2 linked regions of the Macaca mulatta genome follow. The protein of the gene in region 1 purifies or fractionates together with the protein of each later gene. This does not show direct contact. Links are inferred from orthologs where the notes say so. Each region holds a gene or a part of one and is shown on either strand. Other genes may lie near its edges.

Region 1 (7,810 bases):
AATTTGGGGCTCAGAATGAGAGTCTTCTCCCAAGCATCCTTGTACTCTTACAGAGGTAAGTTAAATAATGTCTCTTTTTAAAAAAATAAGAATTCTGTATGGTTAAATAGTGAAATCCTCATTGTACCATAGAGCAGATGTACTCTAAGGCCTAAGAGTAGAGCTATTGGAGCAAGTCAGGGGCAAATGGCAGTTCCTTTCTCTTTTTAGTAATTGTGTATACCTCTCAATCAATTTGATGTGCTATTGACTGATCACTTCATCAAAGCCTCTAGCCTTGGTTTACGCAATAGCCTACATGTTTCCATCACTCCTCACTCGTATTTATAGAGCTTCTCTTCCCAGCCCCATTCCCTAAAACATTAGTTCTCCATAGGGTTTTATGTGCTAGGTACGTGTCACGTTAGACTTTGGCTTTCTCTCACTTGATTTTGAGAAAGTGACTTAAATACATATGCCTCAATTTGTACAACAGGCTTACTTAAAAAAGCTATTAGGTAATTCACTATGCAGAGTTGAAAATAATAGTTTTTCATTGTCTTCATGACTCTCTGTTTGATGAGGAAAAGACTTGCTTTAGCATACTGTGATTGCATCTTATAATTGAAGCAGATAAATTACAAGCCAAAGGTTAGCTAGTTTACATAAATTGTCATTTGAGCAATAACAATGGCTGGATTTTGAATTTATCTTTTTAGTATCCTTGGAAAGTATAATACTCCCATTTCCTAACTACAAAAAAGTCTAAGTCTTCAACAGGGTCATGTGGTTACAGATGGAAGAAAAGACTCCAGACTGCTATTTCATGTTCTTGTGCTCCTCGTTATTTTAATGCCTACTTCTGTAGTGCTTGTGATTCACAATAACAGTATTTCTTTAGTAATTCAGAACAGTACCCAAGATTTGTGGAGACTTTAGGAGCTACTGTTGGCTATTGTTGAGCACTTTTTTAAAGATAGTATCAGATGACGACCTGAGCTGTGTCCTTTAGATTTGGTAGTAGAGCTATTGGAAGTCTTTGGGGTACTGTGACATGACTATTCTGTTTCTCCTGGACAGGTGCATGATGGATACTGATGATGAGGTACGAGACAGAGCTACCTTCTATCTGAATGTGCTGCAGCAGAGGCAGGTGGCACTAAATGCCACATATATCTTTAATGGTCAGTGAAAGCCAAGGATGTCCACTTTTGTTCCTTGAATGGTGTCTAGAAAGCATATTTCATGATTTGCATATGAACTAACTTCACTAGGCAGATGCTTGGTTTTTGTCTTTGAATGCATTTCCGTTTCTAGAGAAACCTGTGTCTATAGGACAGTTTCTAATTTGGTAATGGTAATTCCTGTGCAACAATCTATAAGAATATAGATTGGGCCCTTACATTTTTTAAGAACGTTGCTCACTTATTCCTGGTTCTCCTTGAACTCCTTCTTGTTGCTATTGTTGTTCCCATATAGCTAAGTTGCTTTCTTTTCCGGGAGGTACATACATTTTGTTGAAAATGTGTATGCTATGCTCCCATGTTTCCTTGAATGAAATAAGTCAGTTTATAAGTTTATAAGGTAATTTCAGGAATATCCTTTATTTTTATATTTAGGTTATAAAGCTTTTGGTTATATTTTTCTCTTCCTTCAGAAAGCTTTGATAAATATTACAAACCTGGGCCTATTTGGATTTGGGGATTGGCAAGAGGTTATAATGCTGAGATTTCTCTGTGTTTCACAGGTTTGACGGTCTCCGTACCAGGGATGGAAAAAGCCTTACACCAGTACACGTTGGAGCCTTCAGAAAAACCGTTTGACATGAAATCAATTCCTCTTGCTATGGCTCCTGTCTTCGAACAGAAAGCAGGTTAACTCTATTCGTTTTTCTGTGTATAAGTAGTTTTGCAAAACCAAAAAATACTATCTTACTTTCTCTAATACGCATTTAATTGTCACTCTTTTTTTTTTTTTTGGAGATGGAGTCTCGCTCCCGTCACACGGGCTGGTGTGCAGTGACACGATCTTGGCTCACTGCAACCTCCACCTCCCGGGTTCAAGCGATTCTCCTTCCTCAGTCTTCCGAGTAGCTAGGATTACAGGCATGCCCTACTACGCCTGGCTAATTTTTCTAGTTTTAGTAGAGACTGGATTTCACCATGTTGGCTAGGCTGGTCTTGTACTCCTGACCTCAGGTGATCCACCCGCCTCAGCCTCCCACAGTGCTTGGATTACAGGCGGGGAGCCACTGTGCTCGGCCGATTGTCACCCCTTCTAAATCTTTTAGATTTAAGACCTATTTTTATTAGAGTTTTAAAAAACTCCTGGTTTTTACATAAAAGCAGTAATATGAAATACGCTCCAAGATAAAGGTTTTTTTTTTAATGCAAAGTCTTACAGTATCTGAAGTCAGTTGCCACTGTGCATCTCACTCAGAGCAGTTAATAGTGCTGTTGCCTCCTATTTTTATTTTCCGAAGTTGATAATCTCTAAGTTAATTGATTTTGTTATTGGAGGTTCATCTTAAAAGAATTTATGGGACACAATCATAAAAAATATTCCCAAAGAATATCTAACTTTAAAACTTAAAACAAAAACAGAAGACATAAATGTTTAGTGGTTAGAACACAAAACTGGGAAGAAACAATTTTATGCTTATTTTCAACATTTTCAGTTTTTCTGTTGATATAAGTAATTTTTCCTATTTTGATCATGAGAAGATTTTTAAAATAAATTGTTTTTCCTTTTCTGAGTAATTTTTGTACATCCCAGTCCATTTAAAGCAAATTCTATATTTTTAGGGCTTACTTTATGATTCCACAACATATGTTCACTACATACATTTTAATTTGAGTGTCCCCCCATCAGAAGTGACAGATAACCTGTAAGTATGATTTAGTAATAGCTCATTATATATCTGCTAGAAATGTCTGCTCTTTTCTCTTTCTGTCTGCATTGCTAGCTTGATAGTACGGGGAGAAGTTCACTTACTTGCTCATATCTGTCTTTATAGAAATCACATTTGTGGCTACTAAGCCAGAGAAGCTGGCTCCTTCCAGGCAAGACATTTTCCAAGGTATGATGATTTGATGGTTAGACGTAATAATCTCGCCCCTTGGCATTGTAAATATAATAAAGTCCACCAGTCTTACTCAATTTGATTAGTTCTCAATATAGGAAATCTTCATGTGGCTGAACACCATAGGGTATAGTTGCTGAGGCTACCCGGAGTCCAGGAACTTTCCAGTTTGTAATTGCTAACTGGGAATGTTTTTCTTTTCTGTATCTCGTTGGTTAACAGGGAACTCATTGTAAAATAAGTATTTAGTTTCTTTTTTTTTTCTTTTGCTTTCATTATTATATAAGCTCACTTACTTAAAAGATTATTTCACTAAAACTTGGGGACATATTAGTTGAATGTTCAACCATTAGTAAGGCTATGGAAACTAAAGCTTTTGTTTTTTTTTTTTTTTTTGAGACAGAGTCTCACTCTGTCGCCCAGGCTGGAGTGCAGTGGCGCGATCTCGGCTCACTACAAGCCCTGCCTCCCAGGTTCACGCCGTTCTCCTGCCTCAGCCTCCTGAGTAGCTGGGATTACAGGCGCCCTCCACCACGCCCAGCTAATTTTTTTGTATTTTTAGTAGAGACGGGGTTTCACCATGTTAGCCAGGATAGTCTCAATCTCCTGACCTCGTGATCCCACGCCTTGGCCTCCCAAAGTGCTGGGATTACAGGCGTGAGCCACCGCGCCCGGCCAACTAAAGCATTTTTTAAGCATCCAGAGTAAAGCCTTTCCCTGTCTTCTTCATAGCCTGTGTTCTTTTTTCTTGATAGAACAATTGGCTGCCATTCCTGAGTTTCTGAATATAGGACCCTTGTTCAAGTCTTCTGAGCCTGTTCAACTTACAGAAGCAGAGACAGAATATTTTGTTCGATGTATCAAGCACATGTTTACCAATCACATTGTGTTCCAGGTAAGAGAATGCCCTTAACTCCTGTAGGGATTTAGTATAAACTGGTATGCTTTGAGACAAATATCCTTTACCTATAATTCTAGTTTCTTTTATAGATAATTAATTTGGCAGAATTTCTGGTTTTCTTGCTTAACACCAGAGCTATAGAGATCCCTTCATGTGATGGGCAACTTTTGATGGTTCAAATCTAAAGGACATAAAACTGAAATGTGTGAAGAAGTTGGACAACATAAAGTATAACCAACTTTTTAAAATTATCATTTAACATCAGGGTAGATTAAGTGGGCTAATTCTAAGAACTTAGATTTGACAGCGATCAGACTTCTGCCATCTTGTTTGGTACAGCAGTCTCAGGAAAGAGAAAAAACTGGTGAATAATATAAACAAAAGACCTCAACAATAAGGCTCTCCCTGTTGCCAAAAGAAGAATCTTAGGAGGAGACCTACCCTGCTCTTTAGAGGTAGAAGGTATAGTGGGTTCCAGAGCTGAGTAGTGGGTTATGAGTGGGAAGGATAACTTGTTATCCTTCACAACTTTTCCATTTACTGACTTTTCAGTTTGACTGCACCAACACTCTCAATGACCAGCTGCTGGAAAAAGTGACAGTGCAGATGGAGCCATCAGATTCCTATGAAGTGCTGTGTTGTATCCCAGCCCCCAGCCTTCCTTATAACCAACCAGGAATATGTTACACTCTTGTTCGTTTGCCTGATGATGACCCTACAGCAGGTACTAACCCTTAGAAGGGAGGAGATACTTACGTGATTCAGAATGCATTACCTTGAGAGCGCTTCAACTCTTCCAATGCTCAGTTTAAGAATGTGATGCTTTTCTAGAATTTAATGTAATGATAATGAGTGTGTGTGTGTATGTGTTTGTGTGTGTGTGTGAATATATATATTTATAAAATTGGTTACTGCTGCAGAAATAATTTTAAAACTAAATCTCTGAGTAAAATTTGCTAAACACTTAATCTTAAAAGAGAAACTGAGTGTGTATAGCACAAAAAGGAACTCAAGCTTTCTGTTGGAATAATGTGACCACTTGTGACAGTTCATATACCTGATGTCTCCTATGAAGAATCTTGACCCACTTCTCCTCAAAGTTTCTATCTAGTTAGATTGAACTTGGTTATGGAGTAGATGGTTGACATTTTAAAATATATCATTTTTGAAGGTCCTGTAGCATAAGGCTGGTGTCTGAGAGCATGTCTCAGCCTAGTGAGTGGCTTAGCCAACCATGTGTGTCCACATTAAGAAGGGCTTTTAATTCCCAGCTTGACCCATATGCAGTCTTTGCGGGGGGAAAAACAGCCCCTAAAAGGCAGCCAGCTAGTGTCAGTAGTAGTATTTACTTATTTGGAGACTTGGGAAGGTCTCATGACCTATCTCTTGTGAATGTCAAGTATTTGTTCTACTTGATTCCCCCCACCGCCATTTTCCTCCTTGATTTCTTCTCTCATTCATTGCACAATATTCATAACTGTTACCCAATTTTCACAGAAATAAGCACACACATCACATTTATGTTTTGAATAACTTTTACTGCTCATAAGTACAGGAAAAACAGAAGTTAAAAAATTAACAAATACTGGGGAAGTTACAGAGTTACAAGAAATCATAAAAGCACTAGTAAATAGTTATCCCTGGTCATCATTCAGTTACATTTGGGGCTTAACCTGCTTTCTTTTAGCCCCTCTCCAAACTCCCTTCTTAGATGTTGGTTCCTGGGAGCCTCTGTCCAGTCTTATCTGTGTTAGGTGATAGACCAGGCTGCTCAGACTCTAGCACGAGGTAGATTCAAGTTGGCACCACTGCTGTGTCTGAATCCCAGGTTGTTCCCTCTGGCCCTGGGTGGAACTCTACTTCTATCCTCTAGCCACCCTGGATCCATAACCCCCTGAGTAGGAAGGCACTTTCCTATCTGGCCTCCAGTATTTCTCCTTTGAGCTCAAGATTATCTGGCTTTAACCTTTAATTACCTCCTTTATCCCTTTGTGAGGTTTCTCTAGTTCCATTTCCTTATAACTTCGCTTTCTCTCCTGGTCTGTTTTTCTCTCCAGTTAGATTTGTCTGAAATATGTCCACAAGCCAGTAATTAAGCTGGCTCTACTCTTAAGTAAACCTAGTTTTATTTACCCTTTTCTAAACTAGTATTTGGGCCCAATCTTAATGTAGTCCTGTGGCTTCTACCATTGTCTGGAGAGATTCTGCACTTCGTCAGTTCTTTTCCAGTAGCCATCTTTCCATGTTTCAAAATTCCTCCCGCTATTCTACCTCTCACTATTCTACCTCTCACCAACATCCTGTTTTTTAAGGGATGCTATTACTTTGCCACTTACTTTCAGAGGGAAGTGAAATGCTGAACCCATTGAAGAATCAGTCCCTTGCCAATTGAGAATACTAGCTCTTCCCACTTCCCCAGGTTCATTTTGCTCACACCCCAGGAAGTATTCTTAACAGAATCTAAGAAGTACAATTTTATAATACCAAAATACACAAAACAGCAATATAGAAATTACATATAGCATAGGAAAAAACCAACAACAACAACAGAAAACATTTCCACCAAGAGAGAAAAACAGGAGAGGTTTTCTTGCCCCTGTTCACTAAGGATTTTTAAAACATAGATCTTACAGATTAGCCCAGAGATTTCAACATTTGGTCTGCTGGCTATGGACTCTTTTGCTTGATGGTTTGATTTTTGTTTATAAAAGTTTGGCATTTAGGGAATTGTTTAAAGTTTCGTTAGTAGTAAGTTTATATTTGACCCATCATATACCTACTTAAAAACAAACTCCTTTCTATTTAGTTTTTATCAGAATTCTCAAATTTTTAATCCATGGCCAATCTAAAGTCTATGCTATGCAATGAAAGAAGTGAAATACCAGGGCATAGATGGTAATAGGTATCTTCTACCCATTCCTTCCTTTTTGCATTTTCCCATCACAGATATTCCAAATTTTACCTATCACCTCAAGGTCTTAAACATCAATATGTCTCATTTCAGAAAAATAATGTTTTTCCTTATAATCACAGTGAAAAAACAGAAATTCTTGGTTGTTTCCTTCAACTTGAAAACAGTATAGCATAATAGAAAGAAATATGGGTTTGATAGACAGATGAGGATTTGAATTCTGGCCCTGCTACATACCTGACTGTGTGATCTTAGACAAATTATTTGATCTCTTAGAACTGTTATAAGATAAAATGAAATGAAATAATAGGTAAATTGCTTCACATGGTGCCAGACACATAGAACCTTTTAGTGTTTGATTCTAGAATTATCCACTTTCTTCCTTTATCTTCTCTAAAAATGAAGTCTTCTAGAGTTCAAAAGACAAGTATCCTCTAATCTCTTCCAGAAAGTTGTTCCATCAGTTATCCTTTCTTTGATCGATCTTTAATCTTTTCTACTCCCCTTACTTTATAAATGTATACAAATCTACCCTATCTGAAAAAATTTGCTGTAACCCAACATCAATATATTACCATAACACCTTCTTGCAAAGGTTGGGCAATTTCTTGAAAGACTAGGGACATGCTAATAATTAGTCCTACTTATTATCTTTCTTCCTCCAAGACCTTGTCCTTTACCTAAAAAGTTTTAGAAAAGCCTTTAAGGCAGCATTCCTTCTAAGCATTCATTCTCTTTCAGCAGCTCTGTTTCCCCTGAATATTTATTGCACCTGTAACAATATATATTATATACACAACATTCTACCAATTGTTCCCCATTTTGGACCTTTTTAATGCCACTACCAACTTAACTTTTTATTCCACTGCCTATTCAGAACCATTCTAATCTTTATATTGCTTTTATCAGGTTTTATTGTATCATATTTCTTATTATC
Region 2 (6,631 bases), on another chromosome or scaffold:
TCCATTCTCCATCTTCCTGGGGAAATCCAAATCCCAAAGGTTTCATGAAGAAAAGCACCTCTCTCAGCGACCTAGAGACAGGGAGAGCACAGACGCACTGCTTGGGTGTAAGGCTGAAGCAGAGAGAGGGTGGGCTGCAGCGAATGTAGACCCAAGGCAGAGGAGTAAATGCATGTCGGGGAGTTGAGGGGACAGAGACAGCCTAGACGCCCAAGTCATAAGTTCTACTCCTTCCCCAGTTCTGAGTAGAAAGTTTTCTTCCCAAGACTAGAATGGAGTTTTAGTTTTAGGAACTGGCTTTGCTTCAGGACACAGAGAAGACAAACCAGGCAAAGATCCCACAGGTAGTAAGGGTGGAGTTAAGGCAGCTAATTAAGAGACGGGCACTCACCACGGCAGTTTTGAAGCTATATGCCAGATCGGGGTAGAGAATGCATTTTATGTGCCCTATTCAATACAATTTAAATCACTGTTTCTTCCATGTTGTCCCTTCCCTATGAACTATTCCCAGTACCTTTTCCAAGGCAGAGGACAGGGCAGTAAGAAGGAATGGAAGAAAACACTGAGGTCAGTAAGTGGGGCTAGGGCTTAGATTGGATAAATCCCTACCCATCCCCACCCCCACTCGTTCTATAGTAAAGAATTCTCTTTTTCCCTCCCCTTGCTGGGGTGTCGGGATGAGGTCCAGGTAAAGGCAAAGGCAGGAAAACATTCAGCACATTCTTTCTCCTACTTTAATCTGAAGTGTAGCTACAACAAAGGGCACAGAATTTACAAAAATGTCAGGGCAGGGGAGCATGTGAGCATAATCCAGTCGAGAAAGAAAGAGGGTGCTTCCCCTGCCCTATTATCTGAATATGCTGGGAGCTTTACTCCCAGAACTGCAAGAAGAATGAAAAATAATAGGGAGGGTGTAGGGGAGGTTGGGGGGACAACCACAAACAGAATGGAGATTTAAGGATCCCTGTGATCCCCGAGATGACCCTGAGAGCATCGATTGGGGAACTAGATGAAAATTCACAGCAGACATGCGAATTTTTTGAAGAGGATGAAGAGCCAGGAACAGTGGGATCTTCACCGAAGGAGTGACCACTTGATCTGTTCTTTGGCTGACTGCAGCACCTGCAGAGATAAGAGCAGCGTTGAGGAAAGCTTGCTGACAGGGCAGGGTAAGCATGAGGGCTGGGGATCTCCTTCCCCTCACTTGTCTTCCCTGTCCTTACAAGAATGGAGAATAGAAAATCCCCAAAGGTAAAGAGATGGGAAGAAGCTCTCTAAGGCCCTAGCAGATTGTTTGGAAAATTTCAAAAAAATACAAATCCACTGAGGGGGATGAAGAAAGAAGAGGTACAAAAGAAAAAAAAAAAAAAAACTGGGAGTTACTGGACACATATTAAAAGGGGCGGTGGGTGGGAGACGGGTAACAAATCCAGATGGACTTCTTGGTGAGAATGCCAAGCGGGTAGAAAACAGAACCCCTCCCTTCCCCCTACATCAGGTAGACAATCTATCTGCAGTCAAGGTAGCAAGATGGATCTGCAAAACCTGCATATTCTAGAATATGCATTTCCAGCTTAGCCCTCATTTGAATAATAAGAGAAAGAGAGAGTGTATGCACAAATGCACACAGACCATCTGCTTAAGGCAAGCCTCTGCTGGGGAATAAATCACTGAATGAGGCATCAGGCAAGGAAGGTTTGAAGGGTACAGAGCAAGGTTGACAGCCACTGTTCACAGGAAACTAAGAAAGGAGTTGGAAGTAGGGGTAGGGAGTAGCTGGCTATATAAGTCCCAGTTCTCTGGAATAAGAGGGAGCCAAGAAAGATGTGTCTTGAGTCTCCAGTCTCACTCAGACTTGGGAGGTATGGGTGGAATGCTGTTCTAGCCTCTTTAGTGATGCAGTCCATCTGGAAAGGAAGAAGGGAGAAAGTCATACCTGAGACACGGTCTGCTCCGTAAGGGGGACATCTTCACCCTATGGCACAGAGATACAAGCATTTAGTGTGGGAGAAAGCTGGAGTAAGACCTGATTGGAGTCTGGTATTAGAGAAGAAAAAAGTAATCCTTTAAACTGAAACAAAGGGCAGATGCGCTGAACTTCTCAGTCCCTTCTGGGGACTAGGACAGCTACAGTTTTACTTGGCCAGAGGGACTATGAACAAAAAAGGGTCATTTCATCCAGCTTCCATTTTAAGGCAGGAGGACTTCTTAAAAGATTTAACTCCATTCCGAGTAACCAGCAGGTTATCTGATCCTCAACTCCCTTAACTTGGGGGTGGAGGACCTGATTCTCTAGTCAGAAAAGGCCTTCTCTGAGTATCAGTATTGCTAGGGAAAGGATGAGGGGGAGCCAGGAGTGGTTTAATGGATCCCGCAAAGCCTGATGGGTAACGACAGCATGTTAATTTGAAGAAATAAACTGCTGCAACAGCAGCCTGAGAAGAGAAAGGGGGGAGTTGGTGGGGGGACCCTCTCTCTTGCCACATAGAGACATATGTTAGAGGAGAAGATTAAACTATGCAAATGGAGCCCACAGCAGTTAAGGGAGAAGATTTCCCATTACCAAGCACTGTCAGCCTTCACTCTGTGGAGGTCAGAGCCAGGACATTCTGTGAATGGGGAGAATTTGCTTTGCTCAGACATCTCTGCACCCGTATAATTTGCTTGTGGGCTCTCTGCATCCACCATTATCTCCTCAGCTGACCTGGGGCCTTCTATGGTTAACTCAGAGGCCCCTTTCTGATATCACTAGCACCAAAGAGGACTGAGGTTCTGAGGTTCTGGCAAATACGTACTTCCTGATGGAGAGGCACCATCCTCAGTTATGTAACACTTTATTTATTTATTTATTTATTTATTTTTGAGACAGAGTCTCACTCTGTCACCCAGGCTGCAGTGCAGTGGTGCAATCTTGGCTCACTGCAACCTCCACCTCCCAGGCTCAAGCAATTCTCCTGCCTCAGCCTCTCGAGTAGCTGGGATTACAGGCACGCACCACCACGCCCAGCTAATTTTTGTATTTTTAGTAGAGACAGGGTTTCACCACGTTGGTCAGGCTGATCTCGATCTCCTGACCTTGTGATCTACCGGCCTCCACTTCCCAAAGTGCTGAGATTACAGGTGTGAGCCACCACACCCAGTCCTATATAACACTTTAAAAGACAAAAAAGACACTCTTCTGCCTCAGATGATTGGATCCATCTCCAAGAAGGAAATAAGCCAACTTCAAGTTCCTTTATAATTTCAAAACCATAAATATTAGTTTATTTTATCACTTATTAAATAAATATGTATTAAATGTCCACTTTGTGCAAAGACTGTATGAGATGTTAGGTACCTTATTAGGGGTAGAAATAAGTTCTTTCTTCTTCTTTCTTTGGGACAATAAGAAGGGAAGGAAAGAGAAAGGCTGAATGTATTTGAAAGAAAAAGAGAAGGTTCTATGTATCCTATGAGCCCCAACTACTAGACACATCCAGCAGGTCTGGCTGTGGAGGGTGTTTGTGAATAGATGCGGGGATGCAGAGAAACACATTCCTGCTTACCCTTAATGCCACCCGGTGTACCACCTGCTGGGGATCACTCTCGAGGATCACCCTGCAAAAACAAAGAAGAGATCACTGTTCACTCTGTCCCGAATGCCCAACTCACTGTGGGGGAACAGGACCTCTGGCCGCTGAGCCTGCTTGACTTAGGACAGGGGCAGTTATCCCACTACCTCACCCAAGATCAAGGCAGGTCAGAGAACTTACCCTCCATCTACAATTTCATCCACAGCCAAGAACAGCCCCTCCATGTTCTCCAGCAGTGCTCGCTTTTCTACATTTTTCCTGAGTCCCCAAGAGAAGAGAAGAAAAAAACCAAATTGTGTGTGAAAGAAATCCTAGGACCTTGTCTGAATTGAGGAACCTAAACTAGACCAATAAACATCTCCACCAACCACACAAAGAAGTAAATAAGGTGAAGAACTTTTTAGCTAGTTCACTCAAAACCCCTTTCTACTCTTGGTTGCTGAATAAGGAATGTATGGAAAGAGATTCAAATAATACAGTTAATTTCTGACTATTCAGGGGTTGATTATCCACAGCTATTGTTTCTTTCCTACCTGCCATGCTGCTGCTCATAACATTGCTCATAAACACTGACATCAGTGGGTGGAAAAAAATATAAACAGAGCTAAGACTCAATCTGGAGGTGGCCGGAGGTGCGAGGGGTTGAATGCAAACCTTATTTGCACTCAAGCTCTAACAAACCTCCTGAGACATTCTCTGTTCCCTCTTCTCCCTATCCCTTACCAGCTCTGCTCAGGCCCTGAAAAGAAGCCCAAAGAGGGGGCAGGGTCTGCATACACTAGCCTCAGATCCGGTGGTTGGTGCATGTGGCCTGTCACATCCGTCAGTTTGAGGCTTTCACTAGATTACCCGAAATGAAGTCTATTCATTCACCTGGATAAGAAATAAATCATCCCCTTCCTGAGGAAATCTGAGCCATTCACCCTGCTGAGTTTGCAGGGCTGAGAGTGCCTGCTGTTCTGGTCTGGATGGCTGTCTGTACTGGGTTCACTTGAGAGCTGCTGGGGGAATGAAGTTCAGAGCCCTGGATGTTTTCAGAAAAAGTAACTTACCTCTCTTCTATTACCCATCTACACGGTTAACAGAGGGCTAGTGGGGAAGTGGAAAGGGAGGAGAGGGTAAATGGCAGAAGCTTCCTGGTTTTTTTTTTTTTTTTTTTTTGGTTTTTTGAGACAGGGTCTTGCTATGTCGCCTAGTCTGAAGTGCAGCAGCATGATCACAGCTCAGTGCAGCCTCAACCTCCTGGGCTCAAGCAATCTTCCTACCTCAGCATCCTGAGTAGCTGAGACTACAGGTATGTACCACCACACCTGGCTAATTTTTTTATTTTTTGCAGAGACAGGGCACTATGTTGCCCAGGCTTGTCTTGAACTCGACTTATGCAATCCTCCTGCCTGGGTGCTTCCTGTTCTATAGAAGGCAAAAAACAAGGACTAGAAGTGGAAAAAAAAAAAAAAAAAAAAAAAAAACTGGGCTACGTGGCTCATGCCTATAATCCCAGCACTTTGGGAGGCCAAGGTAGGTGGATCATTTGAGGTCAGGAGTTCAAGACCAGCCTGGCCAACATGGTAAAACCCCATCTCTACTAAAAATACAAAAATTAGCCAGGCGTGGTGGCGCATGCCTGTAATCCCAGCTACTCTACTCAGGAGGCTGAGGAGGAGAATCGCTTGAACCTGGGAGGCAGAGGTTGCAGTGAGCCGAGATCATGCTACTGCACTCTAGCCTGTATGACGGAGTGAGACTCCATCTCAAAAAAAAAAAAAAAGAATGAAAAAAAAAAATTGGGAGTGTTGCTTCCATTCCCGAAGTACTGAATGACATACTATCTGGGACACTTCCTTATGCTTGCCCTTTCCCTACTTCTAATGTCAAGAATGAAGCCCAGGAAAGCACCTTGAGGATGCTCAGATCTGACAGGGCCACAGGGGATTACAAGAGTAAACACAGAGGTAAAGATTCGGCTCCCTCCCAGTCCCCTTCCTTAGTAAGATCATTATTCCATAGGAGGGACATACTCTCCATCCAGTCCTCCCCAGTAGCATGAATTACTATGAATTAATAAAACCGACCTTCTTTTTTTTTTTTTTTCTTGAGACACAGTCTCACTCTGTCGCCAAGTTTGGAGTGCAGTGGTGTGATCTTGGCTCACTGCAAGCTCCACCTCCCAGGTTCACGCCATTCTCCTGCCTCAGCCTCCTGAGTAGCTGGGACTACAGGCGCCCACTACCATGCCCAGCTAATTTTTTGTATTTTTAGTGGAGACGGGGTTTCCCCATGTTAGCCAGGATGGTTCACCTGACCTCGTGATCCACCCACGTTGGCCTCCCAAAGTACTGGGATTACAGGCGTGAGTCACCACGCCTGGCAAAACCCAACTTCTTAAACTAAATCAACTCCCTGGAGCGTTTGCCAATCTCCCACAATCCCTGAGCCTGAAGATGGTTACTTTATCTCCCAAACAGAAATCAACAATGCCCTGCTGTTTCCATCGTAACTTGGGGGGAAAAAAAAAGAATGTCCTGCTCACCTCAGCATCTGGCTCAATGAGTCGAAGAGGCAGTTCAGAACTGCCATAAGCATCAGCTGTTGGGAAACAGAGGAGGCAGAAGGGTAAGGTTCAAGGCCCTGAAAGCTGCTACCTAAAAACAAAACCTCCTAATTCATTAAACATCAAAAGACACAGGCTTTCACAAAGGACCAAAAACATAAGGTGGAAGTGAGAGCACAACAGGAAGAGGACCTGTGGTTTCTCATAGAAATAAATTCTGCTACATGATCCCACAATTCAACATCTCTTTTAGCCAAAAGTTTATAAACAGAACTTTCTTGTCACAGTCCTCTACAATGTCTTTACCAACTGTATGTGTGTTACCTGATGTCTTAGGTAGAGAAATCATTAACCAAGCAATAGCTGAGGTGACAGGAAGGCTGTAGAGTTAGTGTAAAAAGCATGGACTTTAATTGGCTGGGCACAGTGGCTCACACCTGTAACATCTAGACCCTGTCTAGACCCTGACTCTATCCCAGCACTTTCGGAGGCCGAGGCAGGCAGATTG

Evidence for each region. Proteins that work in one complex are often made in the same cells at the same time.
Region 2: the proteins of COPG2 (region 1) and COPZ1 fractionate together in Homo sapiens (co-fractionation; 5 studies listed by BioGRID and IntAct, with this or other methods). This does not show direct contact. The link is inferred for Macaca mulatta from reciprocal best matches to the Homo sapiens genes COPG2 and COPZ1.

The regions. Positions count from the first base shown.
Region 1 is NC_133408.1:170,235,113-170,242,922, reverse strand, and holds part of COPG2 (coatomer subunit gamma-2), read left to right. Parts: coding exon 1-55; intron 56-1,059; coding exon 1,060-1,163; intron 1,164-1,726; coding exon 1,727-1,852; intron 1,853-2,995; coding exon 2,996-3,058; intron 3,059-3,816; coding exon 3,817-3,956; intron 3,957-4,514; coding exon 4,515-4,686; intron 4,687-7,810. UniProt on the Homo sapiens protein: The coatomer is a cytosolic protein complex that binds to dilysine motifs and reversibly associates with Golgi non-clathrin-coated vesicles, which further mediate biosynthetic protein transport from the ER, via the Golgi up to the trans Golgi network.
Region 2 is NC_133416.1:61,540,748-61,547,378, reverse strand, and holds part of COPZ1 (coatomer subunit zeta-1), read right to left. Parts: intron 6,159-6,631; coding exon 6,103-6,158; intron 3,831-6,102; coding exon 3,753-3,830; intron 3,598-3,752; coding exon 3,546-3,597; intron 1,976-3,545; coding exon of another isoform or gene 1,937-1,975; intron 1,908-1,936; coding exon 1,683-1,907; 3' UTR 1,123-1,682; coding exon of another isoform or gene 1,075-1,122; 3' UTR 1-1,074. UniProt on the Homo sapiens protein: The coatomer is a cytosolic protein complex that binds to dilysine motifs and reversibly associates with Golgi non-clathrin-coated vesicles, which further mediate biosynthetic protein transport from the ER, via the Golgi up to the trans Golgi network.